Linked DNA regions of Sus scrofa. The protein of the gene in region 2 purifies or fractionates together with the protein of the main gene of each other region. This does not show direct contact. Links are inferred from orthologs where the notes say so. Each region holds a gene or a part of one and is shown on either strand. Other genes may lie near its edges. The genes, in order: HNRNPM, LMNA and KPNA6.

What was found.
Region 1: the proteins of LMNA (region 2) and HNRNPM fractionate together in Homo sapiens (co-fractionation; 3 studies listed by BioGRID, with this or other methods). This does not show direct contact. The link is inferred for Sus scrofa from reciprocal best matches to the Homo sapiens genes LMNA and HNRNPM.
Region 3: the proteins of LMNA (region 2) and KPNA6 purify together in Homo sapiens (affinity purification with mass spectrometry; 4 studies listed by BioGRID and IntAct, with this or other methods). This does not show direct contact. The link is inferred for Sus scrofa from reciprocal best matches to the Homo sapiens genes LMNA and KPNA6.

The regions. Positions count from the first base shown.
Region 1 is NC_010444.4:70,855,969-70,860,100, forward strand, and holds the start of HNRNPM (heterogeneous nuclear ribonucleoprotein M), read right to left. Parts: upstream 2,874-4,132; 5' UTR 2,804-2,873; coding exon 2,691-2,803; intron 1-2,690. UniProt on the Homo sapiens protein: Pre-mRNA binding protein in vivo, binds avidly to poly(G) and poly(U) RNA homopolymers in vitro. Involved in splicing.
Region 2 is NC_010446.5:93,916,233-93,919,842, reverse strand, and holds part of LMNA (prelamin-A/C), read left to right. Parts: intron 1-415; 5' UTR 416-656; coding exon 657-1,012; intron 1,013-3,610.
Region 3 is NC_010448.4:88,609,576-88,613,969, forward strand, and holds the start of KPNA6 (importin subunit alpha-7), read left to right. Parts: upstream 1-1,552; 5' UTR 1,553-1,945; coding exon 1,946-1,949; intron 1,950-4,394. UniProt on the Homo sapiens protein: Functions in nuclear protein import as an adapter protein for nuclear receptor KPNB1. Binds specifically and directly to substrates containing either a simple or bipartite NLS motif.

The DNA.
Region 1 (4,132 bases), on a different chromosome or scaffold from region 2:
CTGAAGAAAAGGAATTGCAAACAAGCGATCTTATGTGGGGGTCCACATCAAGCTTGCTATCCCACTGCCTTTTAGGTTTACAGCACACTCCACTCCTGATGGAGACAAAGGTAAAAATAACCTAGTTTCACTCACTTCCCATCCCTCAAAGGCTTTCATGATAAAAATCTAAATGCCTTAGCCTGGAATTCATTGCCCACCAGCTGGCCCCCAGTGTTCCAGCAGTTTCAGTTCTTTACAAATTTGCAAAGAATATATCAAAATCCCTAGTCTTTGGACACTCCTCTTTGACTCTTCCCTATCACCTTTCATCCTCCTCCTCCTCCTGGAAGAACATCTCCTGCCCATCCCCCAACAAGTTGGTGGGGGGGGAGGGGAGCCCCTTCATACCCATACCTGGTTAACTCCTTTTACCTCAATCACAGCACAATTACCTTAATACAAAAATATTCATTAGCCTCCCCTTATGAGCATGGGCTTCATTTTCTAAAGACCTCTGTTTGGGGAGTTCCCCTGTGGCCAAGCAGGTTAAGAACCAGACTAGAATCCCTAAGGATGTGGGTTCCATCCCTGGCCTCACTCAGTAGATTAAGGATCCAGCGTTGCTGTGAGCTGTGGTATACATCGCAGATGCAGCTCTGATCCCCCACTGCTGTGGCTGTGGTGTTGGCTGGCAGCTGCAGCTCTGATTCAACCCCAGACTGAGAACTTCCATATGCCGCAGGTGCAGCCATAAGAAGACAAAAAATAATAATAATAAAATTTAAAGAGTTCTACTTCAAAAGCCTCATAATGCAAAAAAAGGGAAACAAAAACCACAGTTTTCCAGTGGCCCTACAAGAAAGATCTAAGTGTTGTTAACTTCCTAAAATACTCTCTATTAAGCAGTCCCAGATTCTTTTCAACTAGAGCTCTTTTGTCTTGAAAACCTTCAGATTCTAATGTGTTATGTTTGTCAAATAAAAGTCACAATATGACTATTTTGAAATGGACAGTAGAAAATGGGAAAGTTGAAAAATGTACCCCAGATGTTAAAATCTGTAACTGATAACTTCTCAGCTAATACAGTTCTAGCAGCACTCCATCCTGTGATAACTGCTTTGATAGGAGAAAAAAAAAAAGGAAATCAAATGTATCTTCCAAATACAACCCTCAAAAATCCTACTAGGCTCCCTACTAGGTAATGAAAAAAGTCTAGATGAACAAGGCCCTTTCCAGAGCTTTCAATAATAAAGGGTTGGGAATACTTTCTCTTTATTTCCAGGGACCAGTAACCATGGTATTCTGTCCCCCACCCCCAAGTTTAGCAACATGGCTATTATTTAGTGAGTGTTTATTAACAAAGTTCTTTAACTACATTCACTTTTACTTCCCACAAACTCTAATGATGCACATTAAAAACTTGTGTAAAGACAAATTCAGAAAAGACAGAACGCCTAACACAGGTAACCAGGAAGAGAGGGAGATGGGAAGTTATTGTTTAATGGCTACAGTTTGTTTGGGATGATGAAAAAGTTGTGGACATGGACACTGGTGATAGCTGCACAATACCGCCAACACACTTGATGCCACTGAATCGTACACTTGAAAATGATTAAAATTGTACACTTGAAAATGATTAAAATTGTAAACATCTTCGGTTGTTACAATTCCCACCCCCCAATAATTTTTTTTAACGTCCATGGGAAATCAAATGCGCACCCAGGCTTCCCCTCTCCTCCCCCCACAGCTGCTGGTCGGGGCCAAAAAGTCTCTCCGCATTTTTCAGAGGCTGTAATCACAATGAGTGGGGTTCACGAGAACACAGGACGTTACTTTAAAGTGTTAAGAAAACCTTAAATACCAAGGACCCAAGAAAGAGCCTCAAACAGGACTCGAAAAGGTGACGGAGTTTGGATTGGGTGAATCCGCCTAATGATGGAAAACCTTCTGGAACACGGAAGAGGATGTTTCCCTTTTATTCCCTACACTTTGTTTTTACGGCTGAACACTGAAGAACAAACGGTTCGATCTCTTCACAAATACCTACTGCGCACCTGGGAAGGAGGTGAGGGACCTGAGCCTGCGCCTGAGCGTCGGGCAAGGGGCGGTTCCGACCGAGGCATTTCCCGCGAGGCGGGGGCGGGAGGGGGGGGAGGGGAAGGCGCGGGGAGGAGGTGCCCCGAGCCGGCCTCGCGGTCCTTCCCGGTACCTACCCGCCTCTGCTACCGTTTACCCAGACTGACCGCGCGCAAAGCCCTGCGTGCGCACTCCCTCCCCTCCCCTCCCCCCACTTTACGGATCGAGAAACTGAGACCCCGGGCGATAGGGAAGGGATGCGAAACCACGCGCCCAAGGTCATCCGATAGGCCAGCGGGTCGCGGGCTCTCAGACTGGTCGGCTTCTGCGCCCGCGCGCCATTATCCCCGCACGCAGAGTCTGGGCCTGAGGCCTCGGCGTCGGCGTCGGATCCGGCCTAGAGGGACCGGAGAAGTTGAGAGCCGAAGCATGGGAGGAGGGAGCGGTCCTGAAGACGCTCCCGGGGCCGCCCAGCTTCACCTCTCACAGTCTTTGACGCCCCTATTCTCGGCAGACCCTGCCGGGAAGGCTCGGCCAAAGCCGCGCCTGGAGAAGGCCGCCAACAGACCTAACGGAGCTGCCGCCGACCGCCGTGAAAGTGCCCGGCCTGAGAGAAGCCATAGGATACTCACCCTTTCGGGCCTGGAGCTCCGTTGCCGGTCGGCACGCCGGGCGCGCCGCTCTCCTCCTCCATTTTAGGCTCTGTCGCCGCCACCTCGGCCGCCGCTTCGACCCCTGCCGCCATTTTCTTCGCGTCTGGGCTTTGTGTGAGCGAGCGGGCTGCGCGGCGCTGCGCCTGCGCGCTCACATGACCCGGCGCGACCAGTAACGCCTGCGCGCGCCGCGGCGGCCTCCGGCCTCTTTCCCTCACGCCCCGGGCCACGCCCCCCGCCGCGCGCAGGCGCAGACCATCAGCTGTTAATTCATTCTCGCGTTTGGCACCTCCTGGATTCACCATCCGCTCTCGAGGTCTGGCAGGGGAGGCATCCTTCCATTCCCCTACCCGGACCCAGTAACTCCAAGGTATCTGCAAACAGAGCTGGGGCAGAAGGGCAGCGAAATACTATACTAGGCTATAAGCGAGTTAGCCAGGCAAGGGTAGGACACTGAAGGGCCAGGCAGTAGGACAGATGTGCAAAATGCTCTCTCTAAGCAAGTATCCTGCACCAAGAATACCTGGGCTCTATCCGACCTATCTCCCCACCGCTCTAAGAACTCCTGGATGCAGAGCCCATGGACTAAGTCCCTCTCACCGAACCCATCCATTACAAGCCAAACGCATGACTGGAGACTTAGTATGTGCTTATGCACGTTTCCTGAGTGAATGAAAAAGCAAGAAGCCAAACGTGATAGAGATCACATAATGGAAGAAATGGTGGGGTCCTTGCTGCCTGATCTTGGGTCCCTCTGTCTCCCTTCCCCAGAAGCCACCCCTATCTGGAACTTTGAAATGCTTTACTGGATCTTGCATGAGTTCCCACCTAACCACCAAACTCTAAGCTCACAAAGGAAGAGATGTGGAGTTCCCGTCGTGGCGCAGTTGTTAACGAATCCGACTAGGAACCATGAGATTGCGGGTTCGGTCCCTGCACTTGCTCAGTGGGTTAACGATCCGGCGTTGCCGTGAGCTGTGGTGTAGGTTGCAGACGCGGCTCGGATCCCGCGTTGCTGTGGCTCTGGCGTAGGCTGGTGGCTACAGCTCCGATTCGACCCCTAGCCTGGGAACCTCCATATGCCGCGGGAGCGGCCCAAGAAATAACAAAAAGGCAAAAAAAAAAAAAAAAAAAAGGAAGAGATGTTTTGTTTTGTTTTCCTCTCCCTCTCACTGAATAACTACATTTCCTTCCACTCTGGGGGACTATCCCACCTGCCGCATCCTCCTCCAAATAAAACGCTTAATTTGGGCTGGTATTCTGAGTGGATTAAGAACTTCAGTCCCAGAGAATAAACCCAGTAGCCCAGCCTGATCCGGAGGCTAGGCCCCACCCTCTCCTTTCAGCTCCCGTTCCCACAGACTTCCCAAACTCTTCAGACTCACAGGTTTCCTTCAAGATTGCCCTTTGCAAGCCCCTCC
Region 2 (3,610 bases):
AAAGGGGGAGCCTGTGGTGGAAGAAGAGTGAGTCACCCCATGGGCACCAGCCTCAGCCCTCCCCCCACCTTCCTGGATCTGCCTACCTGGCGCCTTCCCTTGCTTTAAGGCAGCTTTACCTCTCTCCCCTATCCTTTGCCCACCCACTCTCACCCTTTGGCTCTGCCCTCTGCCCCCCAAAGGCCAGAGGTAGTGGGGACAAGCTGGCAACTTGTCAACTGGCAGTGGGGACAAGTTAAGCCGGCAGGGACCTGGCTGCGCGAGCTTCAGCGAAGCCACAGGCAGCTGGGGGTGCGCTAGAGAGGGTGGGGCGCCGACTCCGCCAACGCCGGGCAGTCCTCACCCCTCCCACTCTCACCCCAGTGGGTTAGAGACGGCCCCTTTAAGAGCAATGGCCCCTCCTCCCATTCCCTAGACCTATTAGAGCCTTTGCCCAGGCGCCGGTGACTCAGTGTTCGCGGGAGCGCCGCATCCACACCGGCCAACCCAGATCCTGAGGACGACAGCGTCTGGCCCAGATCCCCACGCCTGCCAGGAGCGAGCCGAGAGCCAGCCGGCCGGCGTGCTCCCACCTCGATCAGTCTCTGTCCTTGGCCTGAGCCCCGCGCCCTTCCCGGGACCTCTGCCCCGCGGGCAGCCTTGCCACCCTGCCGGCCATGGAGACCCCGTCCCAGCGGCGCGCCACCCGCAGCGGGGCGCAGGCCAGCTCCACCCCGCTGTCGCCCACCCGCATCACCCGGCTACAGGAGAAGGAGGACCTGCAGGAGCTCAATGACCGCTTGGCGGTTTACATCGACCGTGTGCGCTCACTGGAGACGGAGAATGCAGGTCTGCGCCTTCGCATCACCGAGTCTGAAGAGGTGGTCAGTCGCGAGGTGTCTGGCATCAAGTCTGCCTACGAGGCCGAGCTCGGGGATGCCCGCAAGACCCTCGACTCGGTGGCCAAGGAGCGCGCCCGCCTGCAGCTGGAGCTGAGCAAAGTCCGCGAGGAGTTCAAGGAGCTCAAGGCACGGTGAGTGCGCCCAGGTGGCGACATGCGTCATGCGTGGCCGCCGGGGGCGGGGGGCGGGGGGATGCGGAGAGAAGCAGAGAGGGCCCGTCGACCGTCGCCCCTGCCCGGCTCCAGGCTGCCGGATAACTTTGCCTTATAGTCTCCTCCCTCCCCGGAACCGCCCCCGGCGGGTGACTGGCAGTGCCAAGGGAAATTGTCAAGACAGGACAGAGAAGGGAGGGGTCCTGGGAGAGGGTGGGTGTATATAAGAAATGGTGGAGGCATCAGGGCCAAGTAGGAGCTGATGGCAGGCCCACATTCTGTCAGGGTGGGATTTGCCAGTCATCTGGGGCCTGGGGGAGCACCTTGGGCCAAGGGGAACTGGCCCTGCTATGTCTAAGAAATCTGGGCACCCAGGACACTTTGGAGTGGGTGAAAGGGCCCTGTTAGAACTTTCTTGGCAGGCTTGGCACGATGCCAACTTTGCCTAGCCTGGCTCTGAACACATGACACCCACTTAGACAGAGATCTCAAGCTGGTGGATAGCCAGTGGTGCTGGAGAGAGATCGCCAAAGCAGAGCTGACTCCCTTTTACCCCTGTAGGGGCATGGCGACGGCCCCCTTGGCATGACCTTTTCCAGGGTTCTTTCTAAGAGTTGGGAAGCTCTCCCTCACTCCCGGCATGTCTGGGATCTTCTCTGGTCTCTGACAGGCCAACCAAATAGCTCCCGGAGAGCGGCTCCCCCGCAGCTCCCACAGCCCTTGGCCTGCTTGGCCCAGGAATGCAAGGGAGGGAGGGAGACAGAGGGCAGAGGCTCCCAGCTCAGGAAGTTGTGCTAGGCCCAGGTCTGCACCCTCCAACTCTCCCCACCTCCCCCTACCCCACTCCCAACCTCTGTCTGGAGTCTTTGAGGGCTGGGGGCTCTGTCTCTCCCTGCCTCCCTCCTTGGGGTGAGCCACTTTCATTTTCCCAACCAAGTCCAGCAGTCTTTGCTCTTTTGCTCTGGCCCGTCCTCTCAGCCACTGACGTGTGGTTTTTTTGGTGGTTTTTTTTTTTTTTTTTTTTTTTTAATCTTTGCTTTATTAAACTACTGGAATATAGTGACATTTTTGAAATCCAGCCGTTGGAAGCTTTAGGCCACTCCTACCTCACCCATCCCTGCCCCACCCTGCCGCACCCTACTTGGCCCCTCCCTCTTTTCTAAGACAGGCCTTTGGAACTGGGAAGTTTAGGCCCTCTGCAGCTCCCCAAGAATTTGTTTCCCTCCTCTCTGGTCTCCTTTTCTCTACTCAGACCTCAGCCAGAGAGCACTAAAGGTGCTTGGAGATCCCTGGTGGAGGAGTGGGGGGCCCTATGGTTTGGCTTCCCTTCTTTGCATCATCTTCTCCAGACCCATGCCCTTCTCTGAACCACTCTGTATTCCGCGTTCTTTATACCCCTTGGCTAGCCCCCAGCCCCAGGCGAGGTGGCTGTGGCAGATCCATCCCCCCTGTGAAGGGTGATGGAAATTGTGTGGGGAGGCAAGGTGACTTTATTTCTGTTGAAAGGGATCGCTCCTGCCTTTGTCCCTTTAGTTAGGCGGACAGACAGGAGGCCAGCTAGGGGAGTCCTGGAGTATTGGTGTTCTAAATCAGTCCACTCAGCTGCCAAACTGCTACCTTGCAAGATCCCTGTGAAGGGCATTCTTAGCAGATCTTTTTTCTGGGGAAGACATTGATCAGGGAACAGAAAGAGTGGAGGCTACGGTCTCTCGCTCACTCAGCCACTCCAGTTTGTCTCCTCTGTCTCCTGGTGCAGCTGTCCCGGCTGGGACACCAGGCGGGTGTGCGCACACGTGGGGCAGGGCCGGGGGTGGTGTGTGTACTTGTTATATTTAGCCACCTGCCTCTCCTCTCCCCCACTGATCCTGGCAGGGGAGGCTGGGCTTCCGGAAAAGGGGGGTGGGTTTGCACACCTGGATCCTAGGCTGATGGGAGGCAGGGTGGAGGCATAGGGGGCTCCGCCTGGGGTATCTGTCCCTTTCTACCTCCCCCACAGGGAGGAGCCAGGATTCCTTGCTCCCTTTTCCGTCTGGCGTGCTCAGGGTGAGGTGAAGAGTGGAAAGAAGAATTTGGGAGAGGAAGAAAGGCATTGTTCTAACTCCTCCCACTAAAGCCTAGAAAGAAGGTGTTGTCTGGTTTAATGTTTAATTAGAGCTCAGAGTTCAGGGCCAGACTTTGGGTTGGGATGCAGAGTTATCTGTAAAATCTTGTGGCAATTCCTGGCCCAACCTGGGTAACTTGGCCACACCCTGGGACTTGAGGCACCCTTTCATTAGGCTGGGTAATAGGCTCTGAGCAGGACCCCCCCCCTTTCCTGCACCCACAGACACATCCACACGTCCCTCTCTACCCTGGAGCCTGAAGGATCTGGACACCTAAGTGCAGGAAGACTGAGGAGGTTAAAAACATTAGGGAAGGCCTGCCTGGGGTTCAGGCTTTAAGCTAGGCCCCACCCTAGGCAGGCCGGCTGAGTGGATGACTCACATGCTGCCCCCCCTCCCTCCCACCCTGGTGGCTTTACAAGAGACAGCAGGAGACAGAGTGGGGACAGCAGATGGCTTAAAGGGAAGGATGGGG
Region 3 (4,394 bases), on a different chromosome or scaffold from region 2:
GGAGCATATTTGGGGGAAAGTGATGTGATAAGGTCTCTACTTTTTTTTGTTGTTTTGTTTTGTTTTTTGGTCTTTTTAGAGCCACACCCATGGCACATGGAGGTTCGCTGGCTAGGGGTCGAATCAGAGCTACAGCCATAGATCCAAGCCGCATCTGTGACCTACATCACAGCTCATGGTAACACCAGATCCTTAACCCACTGAGCAAGGCCAGGGGTCGAACCTGTATCCTCATGGATACTAGTCAGATTCGTTTCCACTGAGCCACAAGGGGAACTTGTAAGGTCTCTACTTTTAAAAAGATAGTAGGTGCAAGTGGGAGAACCTGGAGGCAGGAGACCAGTGAGGAGGCAGGTAAAATAGGCCAGCAGAGAATTAAGAATTCTGACCTTGAGCAGTGGCAGTAGGAAGAGAAAGATAACCCTTCCGTTCCAGATTGAGTCCTAGAGTCGGCTTTTTTTTTTTTTTTTTTTTTTTTTTTTTTTTTGGCCGCACCTGCAGCATATGTAAGTTCCCAATCCAGGGATCGAACCCCAGCCGCAGCTGCAACCTATGCCACAGCTGTGACAACACCAAGTCCTTAACCCACTGTGCCAGGCTGGGATCAAACCCATGCTGCCACAGAGACAATGCCAGATCCATAACCCATTGCACCACAGCAGGAAATCCTAGATTTGCCTTTTTGAGTTGTCTCCCTCAATGTGCCAGGTATATAACTAGAGATGGCAATTTGTTGGGACAGGACCTAGGCTTCCAAAAGATAGCTCCCTCTGGGGACAGGTGACTGGGAGACATAGCTTTCCTGTGTGGAAAGGAGAGGACTGTCATGCTATTATGCAAAAAGGCAGACCTAATGTATACCAGCCATAAATTCCATAATTCAAAAGACACATGAACACTCAGAGCCTCAATTTCCTCACCTCTTAAGAGGGAGGGGAATTCCCATTGTGGCTCAGCTGATTAAGAACCTGACTAGTATACATGAGGACAAGGGTTTGATCCCTGGCCCCACTCAGTGGGTTAAGCATCCAGTGTTGCCATGAGCTGTGGTGTAGGTTGCAGACACTGCTCAAATCTGACATTGCTGTGGTTGTGGCGGAGGCCGACAGCTGCAGCTCCGATTCAACCCCTAGCCTGAGAACTTCCATGTGCCGCAGGTGCAGGTGCAGCCCCAAAAACAAACAACAACAAATAAAGAGGGAGATCATACTCCTTGTTTTGTGTAACTCACAGGTCTGTTCACTCCTTTGTTTATTCACTCAACAATTACTTATGGTGCACTACCATGTACCACATACTATGCTAGGTGCTGAATCGCAATGATGAACAATGCAGGATCGACCTCTGCTCTCAGAGAACTTGCATTGAAGATAAATTAAACAGCTATGTCAACTATAAAGCATGGCATGGGTCTCATTATTTTTCTACTTCTTATCTCCCAATAAGATTGTAACTGGGTTTGCTCTAGACTTCTTTAATTCCTTATCTCTATATCCTTGAGCAAGTCACTTCCCCTTTCCAGATGATTCTTTTTTCATACCCAGCTCAGAATCTAGGCGTGGTTTTTTAACTAGGAAAGGTAGGAATATCTTTCTGGAAGAAAAAGTTTCTAGGGGAGGTAAACCTCACTACAAAGAGGAAACAGAACCAGAAAAAAACTGAGAAACCCTAAGCACGCTTAACTCGCTTTAGTAGATATCCCTCCCAGCTTCCCTCCACCCACCCCTTTCATCATAGTCCATCCCTATTCTCCGCCTTTAGTAGCTGCTGTCTCTTTAAATGCGCTCCACTGCGTAAACTAGGCGGTGGAGCTGAAAGCGCGATTCTTCCCGGGATCGAGTGTTAAGTTGTTTGTCCGTTTCGGGCTGCCGTCCTGCAGATCCGCCATATTGTCTACTGAAGCTGCTGCCGCTGCCGCCGCCAAGTAGGAGCGAGCGGAGCCGCGATGGGTGAGTAAGGAAACCAAGCAACTGGGGACTCGGGCTGAGGCGGTCTCGGGGCTTGGGGTCTGGCGAGAGCCTGTCTCTAGTCTGCAGAGGATGTCTTAGTCTTTCCAAATAGGTTTGAGGGAGAGAAGCCAGGCCGGGAGCGCTGCTCAGGCCAGTTTGGGGCCGGGTTAGGGCCCATGCGGGGATCAGTCTTTGGGGGGCTGGTTCCAGGAACACCTTGCTACTCCTGGAGCCCCCACGTGGTGGCTCTGGGCTGGATTCCCCTTGTTCCCGGGGGCTGGAAGGGGGCCGACCCTCCGGCCTGCTCTGAGCCAGGGGCTGGGGGCCGGGCTCCTGGTGGCAGGCCCGGGCGGCGTTAAGGGGGCCCTCTCCAGGCGTGTGTCTGACCGACGCGCCTCCTAATTAGATTCACTGGTTCCCCTGAACTCAGGCAAATCCTGCCTACGTCGCAGAGGGAGTCCTAGGGCTAAGGGACGCCTGCCGAGCCGGCTGCAGGCCCTTAACCAGGGGCAGCCTTGCCGAATGCAGCCTGGGCCGCCGAAGGCCGGGAAAACTTCCAGAGCCGAGGCGGAAATGGGGTGGTTCGGTTGGGTTCAGAGTGACAGCCTTCATAGTGGTAGAATACCACTGCCAACACCTCGTAGCCATATATAGGTCGGAGACCTTAGGTCTCTGGGCCCGGCACTGCTTAGGAGAAAAGGAGCGACCTGTTGCTCTTCCTAAGGGGACTCCAGCTAGCAAGGCCTGTGCCCAGAATGCGGTGGCGAAGTCTTTGGACGTAGGAACAGAACCATCAGGGGTACTTCCTCTCCAGCAATAAAAACTATTAAATTTGCTAAGCTCTTCCTGTGTGCAGGCATTGTTCTGATTGCTTTACATGTCACGTTTTATATAATATGTACAACCTATTGAGATAGATATTGCTGTTATCCTCGTTTTACAGATAAGGAAACTGAGGCTTAGAGAGGTAAAGTAACTCAACCAAGGTCACACAGTCAGCGGCTTAAACCGGGGTGATCACTAGCCCTAGCTAGTTTATAGCTGCTGTTCTTTATGGCCTGGCCCCCTAGTGGTTGGGCTAGAAAAGGGAGAAAGAAAGCTTTTAATCCTAGGCAAAGTTGTAAAGGTGTTTTGTTTTTCTGCTAGTGGACTCACTTTTTAATCAGAAAGAAACTGAAAAACTCCAAAGTGAAATTGCTAACCCTAACTATCGTGTGTGTTGAGAGTGGGGGAGCTAAATGAGATTCTGGGATTGAGTTTTGTAAGATCTGCCATCCTGAGGAAACATGAATTATTCCCTTGAACTGCAAAGCAATAACTTTAGAATCAGATCTGGTGTTATAATCCTACCTGCTATGCCCTCCCTAGCTCTCATCCAGTCACTTAAATGTCAAATACATATGGAAAACATCTAGCACAATCCACAGTAAATGTTATTTTCCTTCCTTTCTGAGACTTCCTTTCCTTGTCTCTAGGAAGAGGGAAGGGAATCCAGGTGTTTGAAAACTAAATAAGATACGTCAGTATTTGGAGACTAGGAAGGGCTCTATAAATATCAGTAGTTCTTTTGTGGCAGTGAGTTAAGTATGTGGGTTGTCACTGCAGCAACTTGGGTCACTGCTGTGGCACAGGTTCAATCCCTGGCCTGGGAACTTCTGCATGCCACGCGCATGGCCAAAAAAAGATTGATAGGCTTGTCTTTGTAACTGTAACTTTATGTATCAATGAAAAATTTCAGGGGATTTTATGTCATAGATTTTGTATTGGCCTTCAATTTTAGGAACACTGCTGCATCAAAGGTGAGGAACTAATATATAGTTTAATAAGCCCCTTAATTTTTACAGATTGGGAAACTACCTCAGAGAATATAACACAGGCAGTAAAACAGCAATGCCAGAACTGAGATTCTTAGCCATTTTGCTATTCATAAACCTCTAAGACTTAAGGTGTGATTAAAGCTAGTCTTTTTCCTGGTAGACTTTTTTTTTTTTTTTTTTTTTTTTTTGCCTTTTCTAGGGTCTCTCCCACGGCATATGGAGGTTCGCAAGCTAGGGGTCCAATCAGAGCTGTAGCTGCCAACCTACGCCACAGCCACAGCAACGCCAGATCCAAGCCGAATCTGCAACCTACACCATAGCTCTCAACAACCCCGATCCCTAACCCGCTGAGCGAGGCCAGGGATCGAACCTGCAACCTCATGGTTCCTACTTGGATTCGTTAACCACTGCGCCATGACGAGAACTCCTTCCGATAGACTTTGAGAGTTCTTTAGTAGAGCAACAAAACCCGACCAAGGTCCTGAAGGGGACTTTTAGGCAGCCCTTTTCTCTGCAACTACATTTCAGGCACCTCCCCCGACCCCACCTTGCTCCTTGTCTTTCTGAACACCAGGTTATTGGTATTTTTGTTTCATGGGGGTTTTTTGTGTTGCGTGGGTTGGTGTGG